Caenorhabditis elegans: one gene and its partners. The protein of the gene in region 2 interacts with the protein of the main gene of each other region in a pairwise test. Each region holds a gene or a part of one and is shown on either strand. Other genes may lie near its edges.

Region 1 (5,627 bases), on a different chromosome or scaffold from region 2:
TGCAACATGTTCTCTCGCTTGTTCAACGCCTTCTTCAGCTTTCCATCCGTATGAATGAGTTCTTGAATGAGGATTTCCGAAATCATTGATCATATAGGGAAGCATTGCGTCGACTACTCGAGGATCCTGTAAAATATTAAAATTTGGAATTTCAAAAAAAATCCCAGCACATTTTTTTCCTAGTTTCTTAAGCTACGATTTCACTTAAATTGGAAATAAAATAATTTAGTCACATTTAGAGAACCGAAAACTGAGAAATTGGTTTTTTAAATACCAAAAATGGTCTCAAACTACTGAATTTCGCAATGAAATGTTCTGAAAATTTATGAAAAATAAAAAAAAAAATATTATATGGGTTCAAAGTATTGTAAAATGTCATATTTTCAGTGTCGCAGCGCTGTCGTAAATCAGTTTTCATATAATTATCATAATTTATTGCTGGTTTTGTTCGCTTAGGCCCTTTTTAGGCCATAAGCCGCAATTTTAGAATGCCTACTAGCTTAAACTGTGCCTAGGTTAGAAAAAAACTCATTCGAAATCTAAATTGTATCTGAAAAGTTTCGTTAATTTTTTCCAGATACAAGTTTTTTATATTATTTTTAATCATGCTTTATTATTTCCATTTAATTACCATTGGCGCGGTAGCCTGAACATCCAAATAAATCGGCTGCGGAGATCCTGGCTCAATTTTCGATGCCATTGTCCGGCGAGCAATCGATCGAAGGAGCACTCGTCCGTTGAGCATTTTAAATCTAAAACTCTAAAAGTGAACATAGTTCACAACTCAACATAGGAACAATAGTAGGTTTTTCAAACCAAAGACAATATTGATTACAAGTAACAGTTTTTTTTCTCACGAACTGTGATTCGATTTATAAAAATGATGATTGTGGTTGTTTGAGGAAGAGGAAAGGGGAGAAGAAGGAGAACAATATGAAATGGGACAAAAAAGATTTAAAATTGAAACGGAATTTCAGAGGCATGAATTACACAAAAAAATCCTAAAAATAGAATTTGCAAAGAACGTTTCTCACGAAAAGATTAGGCACTTTTGTGGTACGTAGAGGGAAATTTTCGGAGAAGCGGGGAAGATTTAATATCTTAGCCAATTTTTAGAGCAAAGGAATAATGATGGAGAGGAGTGGTGTGGAAATTAATAAAAAAGGAAATAGTCAACAGGAAAATTAAAAAAAAAATAGAAAGAAATTTTAAGCGCCGTCAATTTTGGCATCGGAGGATTGAGAAGAAGCGGAATTCGATGCACCCTGTCCGTCAGCTTGTTCAGTTCCATTGGCACGAGCATGTGCTTCAACAACTGGGCGGAAGTATTCGTGACCCATGGCCTCTTGAGCAGTTAGGCGTTCCTGAATATGGTGAAATTTATTAAAAGTTCTGGAAATAAATTAATTTAACAAATAAAAGTATTTATAGTTAGTTTCGAGTATCAAATGTCTTTTTTTTCAATAAAACAAGTGAAAATTGTTTTTATTTCTCTGTGTTCTTGTTAAAACTGGTTTTCAGTAACTAATTTGGTGTAATTTCTCTTTTTTCCGATTCTTACCGCGTGATCGTAGCGAAGAAGTTTATCAAGGAAATCAAGAGCCTCTGGGGTGACAAGATGTTGATTTTCAGCGTGGATAAATCTACAACAAATGAATTTTAAGAAAAACATGAAACTTCGCTTCGATCAAAATATACCTTTCCCAGCGTTTTCTTGAGTGTCGCCCGAGAATATCGTTGAAGCGTGGATCGAGATCAATGTGATATCTCGCAATGTACTCGTAAAGCTCATCAGTTCCCAATACCTTTGCAATGCGGACTAGCTGCAAAAAACTTTTTATAAGAAAATCAGATTTCGTGAATTTATAAAATATTAAAAATCATAAAAATTATTGATGAATATTTAATAAATACCTGACAATATTATTTATTCATTTAAATTTCAGCTCAGGGGTGCGAATCAATCGCCGGCAAGAAATTCTACGGAATAAGCCAAACTTATCAGTAAAATTTTAGCTATGGAATTCAAAAAAATAATTTCTTTATCTGAAAATAGTTTTTTGCAGCTGGAACAATTGAAAAATGCTCAAAATTGGAAAATTTTCGGTTTTTTTCGGAAATTTTAAACTTTCCGGTAATTTTTTAAGCGTTTTTCCCCATTGTTCTCACTGAAATAAAAGCCATAATCAGATAAATCAAATGTTTTCTATATTCCAATATTGGATTTTAATGAAATTTGTGGATTTGCGGTTCTTTGCTACTTCAGCTTAAAGTGCTTACCTGATCGTAGTTATCATGGCCGTGGAAGAATGGTTCCTTCCTGAAGATCATACTAGCCAACATGCATCCCAAACTCCACATATCCAACGAATAATCGTAACATTGATAATCGACAAGAAGCTCGGGTCCCTTGAAATATCTAGAAGCAACACGAACATTATAGTCCTGTCTTGGATGATAGAATTCGGCTAATCCCCAATCTATTAATCGAAGTTCCCGTTTTTCGGCGTCAATCATCACATTGTGCGGCTTAACATCTCTGTGCATAATTCCTTGAGAATGGCAGAAGTCGAGAGCCTGGAGAATAAATTGAAACGTTATGAATTCAAAAATTAATGGACAGCTGAAAAAAGTACCTTCAAGAGCTCGTAGAGGTAGTAACGGATATCATAGTCACTGAGGGTTTGATACAATTGCTTGAAGTCCGAATTGTTAACATGCCTTCAAATAGAAATTATTAATTCTAAAAATCTTCAAATAGTAAACCAACTCGAAAATAAGAGCCGGAGTTCTCGAAATAGGATCCTTGACGACGTCGAGGAGGGTGATGATGTTTGTCCCGCCACGAAGATTCTCCAAAATTTTAATCTCACGCTTGATCTTCTTCTTTTTGACTGGCTGAAAACAAACAAATTACATTTTGAAAGCTTTATTACAATTATTTTTGTAAAACTTACCTTGAGAATCTTGACAACAACTTTCTCGTCAGTGCTCATCTTGAATCCTTCAAAAACCTCCGAATATTTTCCACGTCCCAACTTGCGTACCAGCTGATAATCATCGATTTGTCCCCATTCGATCATGTGAGCCTCATAGTCCCAGTACTCGCGTGGTCTCGACGGATTCACCTGAAACAATTGTGATTTATAATATATAAACTCATAAAAACATAATTTAGTGACTTTTACAAATAGTTTTTCTTTACGAGACTATAAATTCCTATGAACATTTATAAAATCTAACAAATGTGGCGTACAGTGTTTCACAGTATTCCACAACTAAACGGATAACGTTAATTCCGTCATTGTGAGTTATGTATGAGCAATATATTCTGTTCAATAATTAACTCCTGGCTATACAAACTTGCTCACCTCGGCGTAGACCCTCGCCCGGCTAGGAATCGGAGGCATTTCCCAAGAATAACGATCTGAAACAAGTAACACGTTATTTTTGAGCAAGTTTTGACAAAACGGCTGTTATAATTGAATTATTAGAACGAAATTTTCAGTAGAAATAGTAAAATCTCGGGAAAACTGATAAAACCCGAATAATTTTGAAAATACATGCCAGAACATGAAAAGAGTACGCAAATGCGAGAGAGCGCAGAGAAAAAACCAAATGTGAACTCGTGCGTGGTGAGATATTCCCGCTGCGAAAGTCGGTGTGCCTTTAAATTTGTCATCATCGACAACGGCGCGCATTTTCTTTTCTCATCTATTTCTGTATTTTAGAATGAAATCACTTTATTTTCAGCGAAACACTTAATTAAAATTGATATTTTCAGGTAATTATGCTTTCAGCTTCACAGCTTCATCGATTTGTGCAACATATTAATCGCCAGGCAAGCCGAGTAAGTTCTGAAGCAATTAATAAGTTATTTTATGTTTTTCTTCAGAACACATGGGTATTGCGCCGAGTATTCCAACCAGAAGTCACACCGCCCGGCGGAGTACAGAAAAATCCCAATGATTTCCACGATTACCAGAAATACGAAGTTGTTGAGTTCGAAACACAAAAATCCGCTGGTCCGATTAATGTGATTTTACTTCAAGATGTTGAAGGTAGTTTTTTAAAATAAAAGAAAGCAAATGTAAAAAATTCATTTTTACAGGAATTGGCCATCAGTTCGATGTGGTTAGTGTGGATCGGACTTTGGCCCGAAAGGATTTACTATTATCTAAAAAAGCCGTCTACGCGTCGCCGTTTGATTTAAAGTACTATTCAGATATGAAAACAGTGGGTTTTAATGTTAATTTATATTTTTCAATCAAATAATAATTTCAGCGAATGGCTGAAGAACTTGCTTCTCGAATCAGAATTCCATATGAGCTCAAAGTGGTTGGACGAGATTTGCAAAAAATGGTCATTCCAATCAAAGTTAATATGGAAAATCAATGGACGATTGATAGGAATCTTGTAAAAAGCTCACTTCGTCAAATGGGAGTTTTCGTTGCTGAAAATACAATTTTCCTCGCCGCTAAACCAATTTCTGGCCCGAATTTTGATATCGAAGCAAAACTATTCCGATTCTACGTTGTTGTAAATCAACAATACATTGTTCCTATGTTAGGAAGGATTACACATATTTCAGTAGATGAATCCAAACAGGTAAAGATTGAAAAGTTGTAGAAAATTATTGAATTTCCCTTTTTCAGATGATTTCTCCTACACTGACAACACCACGTGACGAGGAATTGGCTCGATATTCCATCCGAAAAGAGTTCCCATTGTACAGTAAAAATAACGATTTCACGGAAGATTTCCCAATTTTCGAGCACATGAAAGAGCATGCACCAACAACTCCACATTAGAATTCTAATAATCAATCAGACTAGATTTAATGTGTTTCAATTCTTTATTTTTGTTATTCTTGTTTTGTTGTTTGAAAAAAATCGATTTTATTTGTATTTGATTCTTCAAATAATTTTTAATTTATTTGCTCACGGTTTAATCACCGTTTAATATCTTCCTTCATTTATTCGTCAAACTGTTTTAAATTTAATTTTATTTCTCACATTCTACAGAGTTCATACAAAGGTGCTCAACACATTTCCAAAATGGTTCAAGAAAGTACTATGATTTGGTGAGTTTTTCTTGAATAATACGAACAATGGCAATATTATTTACTTTTCAGTGTCGACAATTCGGAATACATGCGCAACGGAGATTTCCAACCAACTCGGCTCCAATCTCAACAGGATGCAGTAAATCTTGTTACACAATGCAAGTTGCGTGCCAATCCGGAGAATGCTGTTGGAATTCTGTCAATGGCAAAGTTCGTATATTACTCAAACTCGAACGTTTTTTTGCGCTAAAATGACGGTACCTGGTCTCGACACGAAGATATTTTGTTAAATGCAAAAAGGTGTGCCCCTTTGAGGAGTACGGTAGTTTCAAACTTTCGCCGTTCTAGAATTTTCATTGGAAAATCGATGAAAATTCAGTAACAACGTTTGAAGTTACAGTATTCTTTAAAGGTGCACATCCGTTTGTATTTAGCGAAAAATGTCCTGTCGAGACCCAGTACCGTTTTTTGGCGCAAAAATCACTGATTTCCGGTAACACATGAAATTTTTCAATGTTTTCCTTTTCAGCAGTGTTCAAGTATTGTCAAGTCTGTCCACAGA
Region 2 (5,928 bases):
TTTTGCTATCGGATATTTGAAAATTTAGCGATGTTGCGCCTTTGAGGATTACTGTAGTTGTCACTTCCCGATATTTCTTGCATTAAAAATTCCAATTGCAACTAAAAATTCTCTGTGTTGGAATTCGAATTTTCATTACTACAGTACTCTTGAAATCCGCACATTTAAAATTGGCTTTGAGATCGGCTACCGTAATTTCGCGGCAAAAATTGTCAAAAAAAAGACTTTACATGCTTCTTCTAAATTTTGCACACAATTTTTTTCAGATACGGAGCAGCCGCCTCCGCGGGTTTCAAGCTTGTCGAAGTGAGCATTCCTTACACGGAGCCAGCCGAAAAACTTCGTGAAGCAGCTGATGAGTATCATCTTAAACATACTTTGATCAATGCACCGCCCGGGAATTGGGATGACGGATTTAGAGGATTGGCTTCTTTGAAATCGGCGAAAAAGGAGTTTAGAAAGAGTTTGGATACTGCGATTGAGTATGCGAAGGCTCTTGGATGTTGTAGGTCAGTTGAGGAAAGAGGGATTTCAAATTAGGAACAATGTGCATTGGATGTGATGTATTGAGTACGTAGTGTCTTTCAAATCTTATTAATACTTCAAACGGTGCAAACTACAGTAATCTAAACAATTTCAGAGTTCACGTAATGGCTGGAATTCCGAAATCGGATGATGACTTGGAAAATGCTCATCAGACCTATTCTGAAAATGTGCGTTTTGCCGCCGAAAAGTTCAAGGAGCACAAGTTGATATGCCTCATTGAACCAATCAATAAGTACACTATTCCTGGATATCACTTAAATAATTATGAAGATGCAATGGATGTGATCCAAATGGATCAATCGAATAATTTGAAAATTCAATATGTAAGTCAATAGAACATAAAACATCGAATTTTATGCACAATTTTTTTTGAAAATAAGAATTCGAAAAGTAACTGTAATTTTTCAGGACACATTCCACGCTCAACAAATCAACGGACAAATTGGAGCAATTATGAGAAAGCTCAAAGATTATATTGGTTAGTTGAAAAGGATGATGATGAAAATAAGCTTACGCCCTATTTTTCTGAAATTACTTTTTCATTCGTCGATTTTTTTCGAGTTTTTCAGGCTATATTCAAGTGGCTCAAGTTCCAAATAGAGGTGCATGTGATACACGCGGAGAAATCGATTATCATTTTATTTTCGATGAAATCCGTTCGATCAATCCATCATGGGTTATTGGTGCTGAATATTTGGATGCAAAGCCTTCATTCAATTGGATTGAGAACATGTCTCTAAGTTTTTGAATTACCTGTCTTTGTAAATTCGCTCCATTGATAATTTTTTTAAAATAACAATACATATTTTTCAAATATATATTATTCATAATAGTAAGTTACAGTATGTTCAAAATACAAAACCCGTGAGTATGGAATGAGACACGTGGCGAGTTGGGGGTGTTTTAGAGAGACTTGGAAAACATACTTAAAAGGGGCGAGCTTGGGAAGAAAAACAGTAGTGTACGCAAATTGTCGTATTTAGAGCATGGTGTGATTTTAAGAGTCTAATACAGAAATATTATGAAGGTAGAAATAGAAAATTAGAAAATTCGTTGTGTGTTTCAATATTCACAAGAAAGGGTTTCATTTCTAAAGCACCGTGCCTTACGAACTTCACGACAATGTACTGCGCTTCTTCTCAAAATCAGCCCTGATAAAAAATTAATTAAGCAAAAGAAGGCAGGAAGAAATGGAAAGAAAATGAGAAGATCATGATGATAGATGCTGTGCGGGGTATCATAAGAAGAGAGATCGTTCACGGGTATCGTTGATAGTTAACATTCTGACGGTTTGGATTTGACACTGTCTGAGCTAGATAGTGTTGTTGTGATTGATGACGTTGTTGAGGGTCTGATGAAGAGCTGACACGTGGATGGTGATGATGATGGTGATGGGAATTGTGATGAGGAGCCTGTGTCACTGGAGACTGCCAATATGGATTGTATGCAGGTCGTGGAGATTGTACTGTTGATCTTGTTGGAAGAGGTCGATACGTTGGATAAGGATTCGCTGGATTTTGAGGACGATTGTACCGAGTTTGAGTAGATGCTTGTTGCTGCTGTTGTTGTTGATAACGACGTCGGAGTTCTTCTTCACGAAGACTTTTGAGCTCTTGGCGACGGGCTCTGAAATACGTTTGATAATTGGTATAGATCTAGGAAAGTCACACGTGGAATCATCATAAATGTTTCAAATAGTTTTGTGCTACCTGGCATTGAATTTATTTTTGCCGCTCAAAAACTGAAACGGAACGATACCCAAAAAAAGCCATTTCAGTCTGGCTTCAAATCTTAAAAACCAAAAAAATGTTCTGCTATTTTTCAATACTTTCATAATAATTCTCAGTTCTCTGCGCTTTCTTTTTCTCAGAATAATAACTAACTCTCTAATTTGTTCCTCTTTTCTTAATCGATCTTCTCTCCTTCGTTTCTTCTTTTCTCTTCGTCTTTTCTTTTCTTCTAATAATCTTTGCTTCTCAGCTTGGTTCGTCATTTCCACTTTTGCTCGTAAACTACAAAAATTTCATTAGCTCTAATCTGATACTTTTGATATAAATGCTTACTTTGAAATACGATGTGGATTTGGTGGTTTTGTAACGGTCTGCTGTCGGAATAATGGATGACTGGGAGGTTGGTGAAAGAGTGAAGCAACTACCAGATCGGTTACGTCCTGAAAATCAAAAAGTTGAAACTGTATGTCTCGAAAAAACTCACATTTCCATTTGGAACGGGACTTCGTAACCGGTCAAGATCGTGATGAACAACTAGAAAATGGCTCGCCTGAAATATACGGATAATGTATTTCAATCAAAAAAAAGTGCACACGGATTTCTTTATGTATCTAGCTACAGTAGCCGCGAGTACGGTAGGAACTTATTGAAACGAGAGAAAAGTTAATGTACATATCAGGAAATATTCGCTCGTTCCAGACCTCGAGCTTCTAATTTTTGGTAAAAACCACATTTTCTTGCGAACATATGCTCGAAAATATACTTTAATCGGGTTTTAAAAATTATTTTTCTAAAATGTAATAATATCTCCGATACGAGCTGTCAAAGCAGAATGAGTATATATTTCACTTACTTTCCGACGTTTTTTTGAATTAGGACCTCTCCTTGGTTTTCCACTCCGTCGTAATTCAATATACCAGGGATTAAACCTGTCACCATAAGCACAAGACGCATATAAATTGTAATAATTTTCCATCATTTCTTCGAGAAAAACGCATTCTGTTGAATAATTAGATGATGGTGTTGCATATAATTTCCCCGATGGATCCATACAAATGAAATTCTTTGTTTCAACTCCTCGAATCGATACAAGACTCATTGCCACTGACACAAACTCCACTATACTGAATTTGGAACTCTCCTCTTTTGTTCCATGAACTTTGACACGTGTCGATCCATCGTCAGGATTTTCGATAGGAAGCATCTCCAACCAGGTTCCCGAACGACAAAACAGGGCTCCGCGGCGACGGCTGGAAGTAGAAATTAGTCAAAAACGCAATGCCTTTGAAATCATTGGCAAGTTTTAATTTTTGATCATGATCACTTCGATTAAAAAAATGTTTTTTGTTGTTTTTGATAAATTGTCGTTGCCCTGTGAAAGAAAACAAATTTCAAGAATTGAGTAAAAAATCCGAGATCCCTTGTTACAAAAAGTTTGAAAAGCTTAAAAACTCACTCATCAGCAGGTGGATACCCATTTTCTTCTTCATCTTGTAGTTGTTTCTGGAAACCATTTTCAAGTTTACAACTGTATCTCTAATTTCAAACTCACTCTGATCCGGTCCACTCGATACGGAGCACATGAATTTATACGATCGGTTACAAAATTTGAATTATAGAATCCCTGAAAATTTATTTCTAAGTTTCAGTTCATATCTTAACTTTGAAAAAGTAATCAATTTGTGGGAGAAAAAAACATTATCCTAGATTTTCTAGTGTGCTATAATTTTTTCCAAAAAACATAGAGGTGTCAGATTCTTAAGTTACTGTATGAATATTTCAATTTTTGGTTTTTTCACATTTTGAGTACATATAGCTTGAACTTCCAAACGTTCTTAATTCAAAAAAAAATTAAAAAATTAAACATTTATGGTTAAAAGAAGTAAACTTACCGCAAGAAAAGGTGTAACTGGTGTTGTCAAAAAGTTAGAAGTGGCTGCTCCTCCGTATGAAACTATCGATGAGGCGGCAGGAACGGCCATATATTCATCTGAACATTTGAAGAAATTGTAATGATTTGGAAATATTGAAGAACGAGGAAGTAAGAGTCAATAAATGAGAAAAAGGGCAAGTACAGAGATTCGGGAGCAAACAATCTTCACCTCCGCCTCCACTCCTTTTCTGGCACGAGTTTGCACTCAGGCTCAGTTGGGAGAAGGCTCAGGCTTTCTTGCAAAATGGAAAATTGTGATGAAAAAAAAACAAATAGAACGGTAAGATTGGAATGAAGGAATGCAACAATGAAAGAGAGTCTATTGAGAAAACAGATAAATAGAAACAGATCACAATGACCAAGTTCAATAAGATGCAAAATAGAGTTTAGAGTTTGTTCGGGGGCATTAGAAGTATCTTTGAATAAAAACTTTAAAAAGAAAGAAGATTATTAATATTCTATCTTTATATTTGGAAAAAAGTAGTATACTACTAATTTAAAATCCGATAATCATACAACAAGTTCAAAAATTTATAACATTACAAATTTTTTATAAGAAAGTGATTAAGAATTTTGAGAAATATGAAAGTATTTTTTGTAATCTAGTTTTTGTGAAAAGCCACATATTTTGCTTGCAAATTTCCAAAATGTTTATTTTTCCCAAAAAAGTTGTTGCTCAACTTTAAATGTCTTATGGTTCACTCAACAGATTTTAGAGTAGGTAAGAGGCAGGTGTAGGCTCTGCATTTAGGAGTTTTTGTGTATCTGTGGAAAATTTCAACAACGGTTTTTTTTTCCGAGAAAACATATGTAGTTTTGGCAAAGTGATTTGAACCGATTGAATCATCACAAATTTTCACAAGTGACGACAAAGTTTTGAGATCATATTTACACAGTTGTTCATAACATTTGTTCAAAATAAAAACACAAAAAAAAACTTCAAAAAAGGAGGAAAAATAGATCAAAATAAATGAAAAGAGCATCAAAATGTGTAGGATCTCTAGGCTATAACAGAAAAATACCATTTTGGAAAAATGCCAATTTGTAGAGATTCCCAGAATAGTGTCATATTTGTAAATAAAAAACATCCCCCGCAAACAATACTCTTCCGAAAATGAATGAAATTTGAGCTAATAAAGTATGATGCATTTGGAAAAATAGTAGAAAGCGATACTATTCTGAGGAACTAAGAATGACGTTCGATAAAAAATGAGCAGAAATAACACATAATAATATGGTTCAAATTTATAGCAAACATGAAATTACGAATTCCATGGTAAGTTAAGAATTATTCACATTTTCACGTATGTGGAGATGGATATGTGAAAAGTAGATGATTAGTTTGACAAAAGTAAGTTTGGAAAAAAATAAGTGTTTTTTTGGAATACTGGAATGAAGTAAATTTATATTGTCTTACTGTTAGAAAAATGAAAACATGTTAAAAAATGCTTAATTGAAAAAAAGCATAAACCGAATACGGTATTTCATGAATAGGTATACGGAACAGTCGTGGCAAGACCCATTTATGAGAATCTAGAAATATATTTAAATGTCTGAGTGTGAAAACTTGAAAACTAAAATCCTATAGTACCCGAAAAATCATATGACAGAAGAAAGATCAAGAAAAATATGAGTAATAGTTGATGTAGGAAAAAGAAAGAAATCGAGGATGAAACGTGTGAGATAATAATTGATAATCAATGAGGATACAAAGACTCT
Region 3 (3,510 bases), on a different chromosome or scaffold from region 2:
TTAGAACAAAGCCCCGCCTACAATTGCCTGATTTCGTTCTACGCGAGCTGTTTGCTTGCGAATCGATAAAGTGTCGGTTGTGTGGCAAGTGCGCTCCACTGTGCAGGTCTCGCAGCGATTGCCATTTTCCACCGTAGTTCCCTCCAATGTCTTCTCCATTTTCGTAATTTTTTGGTTCGCCCAAATTTTTTTTCGTCATTTTTTGCCTGAAATGTTCGTTTCTTCTCAATTTTTCTTGGATTTTAAGAGTAGATTTGAGAATAGTGGATGATTCTAGTCGATTCAGATCGACTGGAGCGTGATTTAAATCCATGACTCTAAGTGAAATGGGATAATTCTCAATCTTACTCGGCTCTCCCACGGCTGAGGTATGTATTTTTCGTAATTTCGCTTTTCGTTTTTGTTAAATAATCGATTTTTGTAGTATGGGACGTCCAGAGTTCAATCGTGGCGGCGGCGGCGGAGGTAAACTGAATTTCAGGATTTTTTCGTATTATAAATATTATTTTTCAGGTTTCCGAGGTGGACGCGGTGGAGACCGTGGTGGTAGCAGAGGTGGATTTGGAGGCGGTGGTCGTGGAGGATATGGCGGAGGTGATCGTGGCAGTTTCGGTGGAGGTGATCGCGGAGGCTTCAGAGGAGGACGCGGAGGTGGAGACCGCGGTGGTTTCCGTGGAGGAAGAGGCGGTGGTGATCGGTTTGTGTTTTATAATTCTGTTCGCCATCAAAACGATAATTTTTCAGAGGTGGTTTTGGTGGCCGTGGATCACCAAGAGGAGGATTCGGAGGACGTGGATCTCCAAGAGGCGGAAGAGGATCACCACGTGGTGGACGCGGAGGAGCCGGTGGAATGCGAGGAGGAAAGACTGTCGTTGTCGAACCACATCGTCTCGGTGGAGTATTCATCGTGAAAGGAAAGGAAGATGCTCTTGCCACAAAGAACATGGTTGTGGGAGAGTCCGTGTACGGAGAGAAGAGAGTGTCCGTCGATGACGGAGCTGGCTCAATCGAGTACCGTGTGTGGAATCCATTCCGTTCTAAGCTCGCTGCTTCCATCATGGGAGGATTGGAGAACACTCACATCAAGCCAGGAACCAAACTTCTCTATCTCGGAGCTGCTTCTGGAACTACTGTTTCCCATTGTTCTGACGTCGTTGGACCAGAAGGAATCGTTTATGCTGTTGAGTTCTCTCACAGATCTGGACGTGACCTTTTGGGAGTTGCCAAGAAGAGACCAAACGTTGTCCCAATTGTCGAAGATGCCAGACATCCACACAAGTACCGCATGCTTGTCGGTAAGTATTAAATTTAAGCATTTTTGTGTTTAATATTTATATTACAGGAATGGTCGATGTCATCTTTTCTGATGTTGCTCAGCCAGATCAAGCTCGTATTGTTGCTCTCAATGCCCAAAACTTCCTTCGCAACGGTGGACATGCCGTCATCTCTATCAAAGCTAATTGCATTGACAGTACTGCTGAGCCCGAGGCTGTATTTGCTGGTGAAGTCAACAAGCTGAAGGAGGAGAAGTTCAAGCCACTTGAGCAGGTAACCCTGGAGCCGTATGAGAGAGACCACGCTGTCGTGGTTGCTGTCTACCGCCCAGTCAAGGGAAAGAAGGTCTGATCTCCAAAATCATCGTTACATTTTTTTGTTTTGTTATTTTGTTACATGTATACCTCCATCTTGATCGTTAACACTTGTTTTACTTGTTTCCCAATAAAATGTTGTTGATGCTGTCATGTTAGGGATGTTTTACTTTTATCTTTACTTGGTTCTCAACCTTGCCGATATTTCTATTCTACTTTAATTGTAACCTTTATTTTGTTCTTTGTTTAATATATTATTACAGGGTAATGACGTCTACCGTGCAATCGGTTCAGACCTTCGGGCGCAAGAAGACTGCCACCGCTGTCGCTCACTGCAAAAAGGGACAAGGACTTATCAAGGTCAACGGTCGCCCACTTGAGTTCTTGGAGCCACAGATCCTGCGCATCAAGCTTCAGGTTTTTGTTCCGACATTAAATTCCAACTAACTTGTATTTTTCAGGAGCCACTTCTCCTCGTCGGAAAGGAACGCTTCCAGGATGTCGACATCAGAATCCGTGTTAGCGGTGGAGGACACGTTGCCCAGATCTACGCTGTCCGTCAAGCCCTTGCCAAGGCTCTCGTTGCCTACTACCACAAGTACGTTGACGAGCAGAGCAAGAGAGAATTGAAGAACATCTTCGCCGCTTACGACAAGTCCCTTTTGGTTGCTGACCCAAGACGCCGTGAGTCCAAGAAGTTCGGTGGACCAGGAGCCCGCGCTCGCTACCAGAAGTCTTACCGTTAAATTCTTTTTGTTGCACAATAAAATTGTTATTGAAAAAAAAGATTTATGAGATCGAATTTAAAAAGATTTAGAAAGTGAAGCTGAGCAAAAGCATATCAAGGACAAAAATGAATAGTATTCCGGCGATGAGGTCCAATCTTGAGTGTTTAGTTTTTCTCGTGTAGGCAACTTCGAATTGTTGTATTGGTTTAGAGCTTAAAATTCAATCTTATTCTGGTATGGTATAGAAACACTCACCAAATGCACTCAGTTTGAACTTCGCTGATTCCCGTTCCGTTTATTGTACACGTTGATCTCTTCTGCCGAGCACGACTACATCGAAAATCACAACATGAGTTGAACATTTCACATGACGAATAGTCTGCCTGAAATATTGGCAGAATTTTTTCAGGATGAGCTAAACATTTCAAACCTTTGATATGCATTCCTGCGTGTAGACTTTTAAGGATGCTTCAGTGTTTGATACTAAACATGGAATCAGGCAGGCTGGAATAATGATGGCAGTTATTCGCATTATAAAATATCTGAAATTAAGATATGCTCCTTCTGCTAGACTGGATATAAATTGAGAAAGTAAATCTACAGAGAGATTGCAGTGGAGTCAATGTTTGAGCAGAGTTCAGCATACAACAATCGCTAATTTGACAGTTTTCTCTGCTTCTTTCAATTGTGAACTAGTATTGAGCTAGATTGAAAAACCAATTAATCAATTTTTCAGGAACTGCAATCAAACACAACACTGATATGCGGAAAAAGATTGAATACTTTGTTCACAGTTTGTTTTGAACATACGAAAACAGACAAATGACATTGACCCAGAAGAAATCAGAAATTTAGAGAAAATGAGTGGGTAACTGTTAACGAAAATTCGAACGAAAAATTTGAGAGAAAGGCAAAGCTGATGTGGGTGTGTTTATCAGTTTTGCTAGTTATAAGACTAAAGTATTTTTATTATTTATTATCTCGATAGGAATAGTTGTCAAATAATAAAAACAATATATATCATTTTATTGATAAACGGAAATGAATTTTGACCTCGATGATTAACGATAAACTGAAAACAAACAAAAAGTAATCATGTGAACTTTAAAGTTTTTCAACGTTTGAATGGAAAGTAGTAGAAGAATGGAGGTGCATGACCTTCCCCTTCGAAAATGGACGTCTTCAAATGCGAT
Region 4 (5,032 bases), on a different chromosome or scaffold from region 2:
ATTTAAAACTGCATTCAAAACAACAGGACTTCTTCTTCTTCTTCAAAAAAAACATGACAATTTTCGAAATTGTTTTTGGTATTCTTATGTATTCGGCTTTCAAACTTTTCAACTAAAGCACAAATGTTCATTTAATTGTAAAGTGGTACAAAAGTAGCTCGTTCCCAAAACCCTGCTCTTTCTGCATAGAACTATCTCAATTACCAGTGTACCAATTACCACTCCTTATATTATCGGCTGTAAAAACCCCAATTTTTTGGTTGTTAGCTGGCGCCGCCACCTGGCGTTGCAAATGAAACCTACCCGTCCAAATAAGTAGTTTTCAAGTATGTCACTAACCAAAATTTTGCTATATCTGTAAAGCCAATTTAACTAGAAATAAACCTATGAAAGTGTCATGTACCGGAGATTTAATCCAGGACTCCACCTTTTCTTATTCCTCAATGAATATGAACATTAAATTCTAGTTTTCATCTTTGTTCATATCTATAATAAATGAAATAAATTTTGAATTGAACCTTAGCAAGTGCCTAAGACGTAGTAGTTATCTTGGTTAAGGAAGAACAACCTGCAATAACAAGATGTCGCTAAAAGAAAACGTTCGTTTCAGTTTTCTTTTCTCATTCGAACTTTGTTCAATTGCACTAATTTTTATACATTTGGATGTCAATCGGAATCCTCCCCTCTTAATATTTCTTCGACGTGATTATCTGCGTTAATTTCTCATATTGAAGTTGGTGTTACAACTTTATTATGTGTATTCAAAAGCTTGGGGGTGTTTCGAATGTCGAGATTTGAAAGGGGGAAAAGCCGTAACAAAACGGAACATTGAATTGTATGGGTAGAGACGGGAAGTTTTGATGAGTGGGCTCAGCACAGAAATTTGAATAACTTCTGCATTTGGTTGATGGGAAAAGGGGAGTGATTGATGAATTTATAGAAAAAAATGGAAAGAAAAACGATGGTTTAACTAGTCAATGGTAATAAATAAATCATATGACAAATAGTATTATTTATCATTTTCAAGATCGAGGTGAGGGGTGTGTGGCGGTAACGTGTCGGTGTGAAGGAGTTAGTTGCCTCCCTCTGTCTCGTTGGCATCAGTGTCATCGGTGGCAGCGTCCGAGGTCCAGAGAGTCAAGTTGTCACGGAGAAGCTGCATGATGAGGGTAGAGTCCTTGTATGAGTCCTCGTTGAGGGTGTCGAGCTCAGCGATGGCGTCATCGAAAGCCTGAAAGATTAAAGGTAATCAATAGCTTTGAAGTTACGATGCTATGTCAAAAACTTAACGAGCACCTGCTTGGAAAGCTGGCATGCTCTATCCGGGCTTGCTGCTACTTCATAAAAAAACACCGAATAATTGAGTGCAAGACCAAGGCGAACACAGTTCGTTGGTGACAGATCTTTATTTGCAATTTCAAGTGCCTCCGCGTAAGCCGTTTGTCCAATGTTGGCTACTGCTAAAATAAAATAAAAACATTAACACACCTGCTTGGCAAGCTGGCAAGCCTTGTCCGGGGCGTTCAAGATCTCATAGAAGAAGACAGAGAAGTTGAGAGCAAGTCCCAGGCGGATTGGGTGAGTTGGTTGCATCTTATCCTTGGCAATGTCGAACGCCTCTTGGTAGCTTTGCTGCGACTTCTCGACAACCGCTGCAAAGAAGGAATATTCATTTCTGGTCTTCTTTGAAACGAGTATGACTATGAGAGGCAGAACTCCCTAGAGGAGAACCCCCAATGAGCTGCCCTAGAGTTTATTTTCAAAAACTACGCATCGATGTGGAATTGGGTCGCGCCTGAACTCCCGTTCTCTGTCTTCCCTATGATATCTTTCCACACTTCACACAAGGATGCATAGCTTACGAATGAGGGTTAGAAACGAGTGCACGGTTATGTCCCAATTACAGTCATCATTTTCAATCACTTACAGTTTCTGTCGTCTCCGGAGGCGACCTCAGCGAGGTAACGGTAGTAGTCTCCCTTCATCTTGAGGTAGAAGACCTTGGACTCGGCGGCTCCAGCCTTTGGAATGAGGAACTTGTCGAGCAAGTTGAGAACGTCTTGGCAGATGTCGCGGAGCTCCTTCTCAACCTTCTCACGGTATTCCTTGGCCATTTGTTGCTTCTTCTCAGATCCTTCGGTCTTCTGCTCAATTGAAGAGATGACTCTCCATGAAGAACGACGGGCTCCGACGACGTTCTTGTAGGCAACGGAGAGAAGATTGCGCTCCTCGTTGGAGAGCTCAGCTCCCAGCTCGGTGACCTTCTTCATGGATGCGGCCATGTCGTCGTAACGCTCAGCCTGAAATTAAAGTTTTAGTATTCAAGAACATCCTGAGACATCTACATACCTGCTCGGCAAGCTTGGCGCGGTTCACGAGCTCTTCCTTTCCGTCAGACATAGTTGATTTAGTTGCTTGAAGTGGATGAGTCACTGAAAAACGAGAATATAAAGAGTTTGATACAAAAAGGTCAAATGAGAAAGAGAAGAAAGAGGGCGGTAAACAAATGAAGATTGTTTGAAGAAAGCAAAGAATGGCTCCTTTCCGTATTCTTATATGATATGAAACTGATGGGACATTTTCATCTCTTCTAACACGAGGCGTATGAGCCCTTGTAGAAGTATACACAATGCATCAAGAAGAAACGAGAAGGACGTTGTCGAGCGAGTAATGTTGAACAGAGTGAGCGGCACCCCTCCCAGCCCTCCCTCTCGTTTTCTGTGCGTCTCTCCCTATCTGCCGAAAGGAGCGCGCACCATCATTTTAGGGTCTGTAAAAACCATTCAAACTGCGAATTTCAGAATAAAAATTATATATTCTGAGAGGGGAAAGTCTGTTTCATCAGCTAAAGTGAAGAAAATATAAGTTTTGATATCTGTGTTTAAAAAGAGCCGTTTGGCGCGCTACAAACACACAATTGCGGAGTGATTCGAGGGGGCTGCCAACAGAAAACCGCCGCCTCCTACGACTCATAAAGGGTCTCTTTCGCAATGTGTCAACAAGAGCGCGCACCACATTTCTTCTTTGAAGGAAGTCAACATAATTTCAGATATATTAGATGAAAATTAGATATTCGGGTTCGTCTTTTTCCGGGCTTTTAGTTGACTAGAAACTCGGCCTAAAATCTTGAACTTTGAATATTTTTGTGCAGAAAATAGGACGAAAACATCGGACATGCGGAGGCTTCTAGGGGGCTGCCTTTTGCCCACCCACCAGGCGCTCGGTCGTCATTTGAAGTCGCTCTGTTATTCAAATAGAAAGAGCGCTCACCATAACTCTTTGGGCCATAATTTACCTTCAAATTATCTTGAGTAATGTATGGTCTGAAAATTTGAAAATGTGACTACAGAAGCTTGCCGTTTTCAAAGTTAAATGATGATTCTTGCATGTTCCTGGATGTTTCTGGAAACTTGGAGCAAATTCAAACAATGCGGCAGCGCTTTGGGGGCTACTTTGACGACCGCTGCAGACTTGTTCTAAATCAATGACCAGCGGCGGTGGGCTCGGAGGCTCGGAGCTGATGCGGTTGGCTCTCGCTTCACAACAGCCTAGGATCGAATATGCAGGGCGCGTAAACATGCAGGCAAAACAGGCTGATAATCGTGTTACTTAACTTGAAAGTGCCTGGTATTTGCCTTAAATTACAAAGGAGATTCAGAAAAATAATTAGCATGATAAATTTACAATTCTAAACTACATATAAGGCCAGGTTCTATTCATTCTTTTCATTAATTCATATGTAGAATTTTACAAAAATGTTTATTACAATAGTATCTGTAATTTTTCCTGATGTTTCTGAAACTGTAACTGGTATTTTGTACAAACATCCATATCAATTAGAATTGGTGTCGCGGAACACATCCGACTGTTGTTTGATCTTCATTTTTGTTGTCTTCACTTCCGATTTTCGAGGAAGTACATGTACATCTTCATTCTTCCTATCCCGAAACCTTTCAAACCCCATTCTATCAAAACAGAATTAGGAACAACAGATGCGTGGTGTGGTGCGCAACTATACAGAGACCTTCAACGCAATTTACGTCTTATCTATTCCACATCTTCTTTCACCGTGCAGTGAGGTATACTCTTACTCATCAATGAGAACTGTTGTCTTACGGGAAAGATTCAAAAACCAGTGAACCCACCTTCAATTTGAAAAATACGTTTCTAAATATATTTATTCGCATTTCTCAGACTGCCCCAATTACCAAAATGGGCTTTTCATTTTTGGCCATTTCAGGATTAGCGGCCGACGGAGCAGTGAAGTCGTGGGAACCTATTAGATGTTTGGTCAAGGTTGTGCCCAGACTCCAAATTGTTTTGAACAAGGCACCACCTGCTGGTCATTTTTCAAATGTTCTTTCTTTCTGAAGGTCCTCTGAGAGATGGAAGGATGTTTGTAGTTTTCTTTATTACGACCACTTTACAATTCAATTCGGGGGAAGCATTTAATTTAAAATTCTTCTCTATGTGTGTGTGTGTGTGCAGATTTCAACTTTCTTTACAACTTGGCTCAATGAGACTTCGATACTTAGATATTGAGACTTCAGACTAACAGAAAATGAGAAATGAATGATCATGTGAAATAGGATATAAGCTCATAAAGTCAAAGTGCATAATACTCCCTAATGTAATATTCATGAGTAATCATTGATGCTTACACTCTGTCTCGACTTCCTATCTGTTCTTGGTTAGCAGAATATTTAGCAGTTCTGTGAATCTGCACGGTGAGAAAATTTCACAGTTTGCATGTTTTCATTTATTCAACCAGTCATTCGATTACTGGCCAAGTGAACAACAACGTCGCGTGGGATATGAAAATTGGAAAATTTTGAAATTGGTCTGCATTTGGCAGAGTGTCCCCCTACTTTTCAAAACAATCCAATTTCCAATTCATGATCACAGATGATTCTAGTTTTACTAAAAAAAAAAGGTTGACTGTATCATCTGCCTTCATAGTAACTATATTTACGAAAACGTCATGTGTTACAGTTTTGTAGAATAACATTGAAGAAGACGATCTCTTTTTTTG

Evidence for each region.
Region 1: the proteins of let-756 (region 2) and kin-3 interact in binary tests that used the Caenorhabditis elegans proteins (3 or more experiments, as listed by UniProt).
Region 3: the proteins of let-756 (region 2) and rps-16 interact in binary tests that used the Caenorhabditis elegans proteins (3 or more experiments, as listed by UniProt).
Region 4: the proteins of let-756 (region 2) and ftt-2 interact in binary tests that used the Caenorhabditis elegans proteins (3 or more experiments, as listed by UniProt).

The regions. Positions count from the first base shown.
Region 1 is NC_003279.8:10,731,822-10,737,448, reverse strand, and holds kin-3 (Casein kinase II subunit alpha), read right to left. Parts: upstream 3,428-5,627; 5' UTR 3,411-3,427; coding exon 3,372-3,410; intron 3,307-3,371; exon of another isoform or gene 3,193-3,306; intron 3,129-3,192; coding exon 2,958-3,128; intron 2,899-2,957; coding exon 2,771-2,898; intron 2,722-2,770; coding exon 2,637-2,721; intron 2,578-2,636; coding exon 2,281-2,577; intron 1,824-2,280; coding exon 1,699-1,823; intron 1,644-1,698; coding exon 1,562-1,643; intron 1,365-1,561; coding exon 1,209-1,364; 3' UTR 834-1,208; downstream 1-833. Other genes in the region: nfs-1 (cysteine desulfurase), read right to left, coding at 1-126, 632-700; mrpl-9 (Large ribosomal subunit protein bL9m), read left to right, coding at 3,791-3,850, 3,896-4,061, 4,112-4,236, 4,285-4,608, 4,656-4,811; rpn-10 (26S proteasome non-ATPase regulatory subunit 4), read left to right, coding at 5,058-5,083, 5,135-5,275, 5,595-5,627. UniProt on the Caenorhabditis elegans protein: Casein kinases are operationally defined by their preferential utilization of acidic proteins such as caseins as substrates. The alpha chain contains the catalytic site. May participate in Wnt signaling.
Region 2 is NC_003281.10:6,405,467-6,411,394, reverse strand, and holds let-756 (Protein let-756), read right to left. Parts: upstream 4,267-5,928; 5' UTR 4,259-4,266; coding exon 4,169-4,258; intron 3,901-4,168; coding exon 3,829-3,900; intron 3,780-3,828; coding exon 3,733-3,779; intron 3,527-3,732; coding exon 3,130-3,526; intron 2,827-3,129; coding exon 2,761-2,826; intron 2,717-2,760; coding exon 2,610-2,716; intron 2,559-2,609; coding exon 2,430-2,558; intron 2,173-2,429; coding exon 1,803-2,172; 3' UTR 1,362-1,802; downstream 1-1,361. Other genes in the region: C05D11.5 (Putative hydroxypyruvate isomerase), read left to right, coding at 267-509, 641-869, 955-1,024, 1,116-1,294. UniProt on the Caenorhabditis elegans protein: Required for larval development. Probably by binding receptor egl-15, negatively regulates membrane protrusion from body wall muscles during larval development.
Region 3 is NC_003283.11:14,998,884-15,002,393, reverse strand, and holds rps-16 (Small ribosomal subunit protein uS9), read left to right. Parts: upstream 1-1,852; 5' UTR 1,853-1,856; coding exon 1,857-2,006; intron 2,007-2,050; coding exon 2,051-2,335; 3' UTR 2,336-2,376; downstream 2,377-3,510. Other genes in the region: fib-1 (rRNA 2'-O-methyltransferase fibrillarin), read left to right, coding at 426-465, 514-697, 745-1,295, 1,343-1,626; T01C3.11 (uncharacterized protein), read right to left, coding at 2,403-2,529, 2,573-2,700, 2,748-2,849.
Region 4 is NC_003284.9:11,602,981-11,608,012, forward strand, and holds ftt-2 (14-3-3 domain-containing protein), read right to left. Parts: upstream 2,440-5,032; 5' UTR 2,401-2,439; coding exon 2,350-2,400; intron 2,301-2,349; coding exon 1,928-2,300; intron 1,653-1,927; coding exon of another isoform or gene 1,489-1,652; intron 1,461-1,488; coding exon 1,297-1,460; intron 1,232-1,296; coding exon 1,073-1,231; 3' UTR 728-1,072; downstream 1-727. UniProt on the Caenorhabditis elegans protein: Required for extension of lifespan by sir-2.1. Required to modulate lifespan, in concert with hcf-1, acting redundantly with 14-3-3-like protein par-5. Promotes nuclear export of yap-1.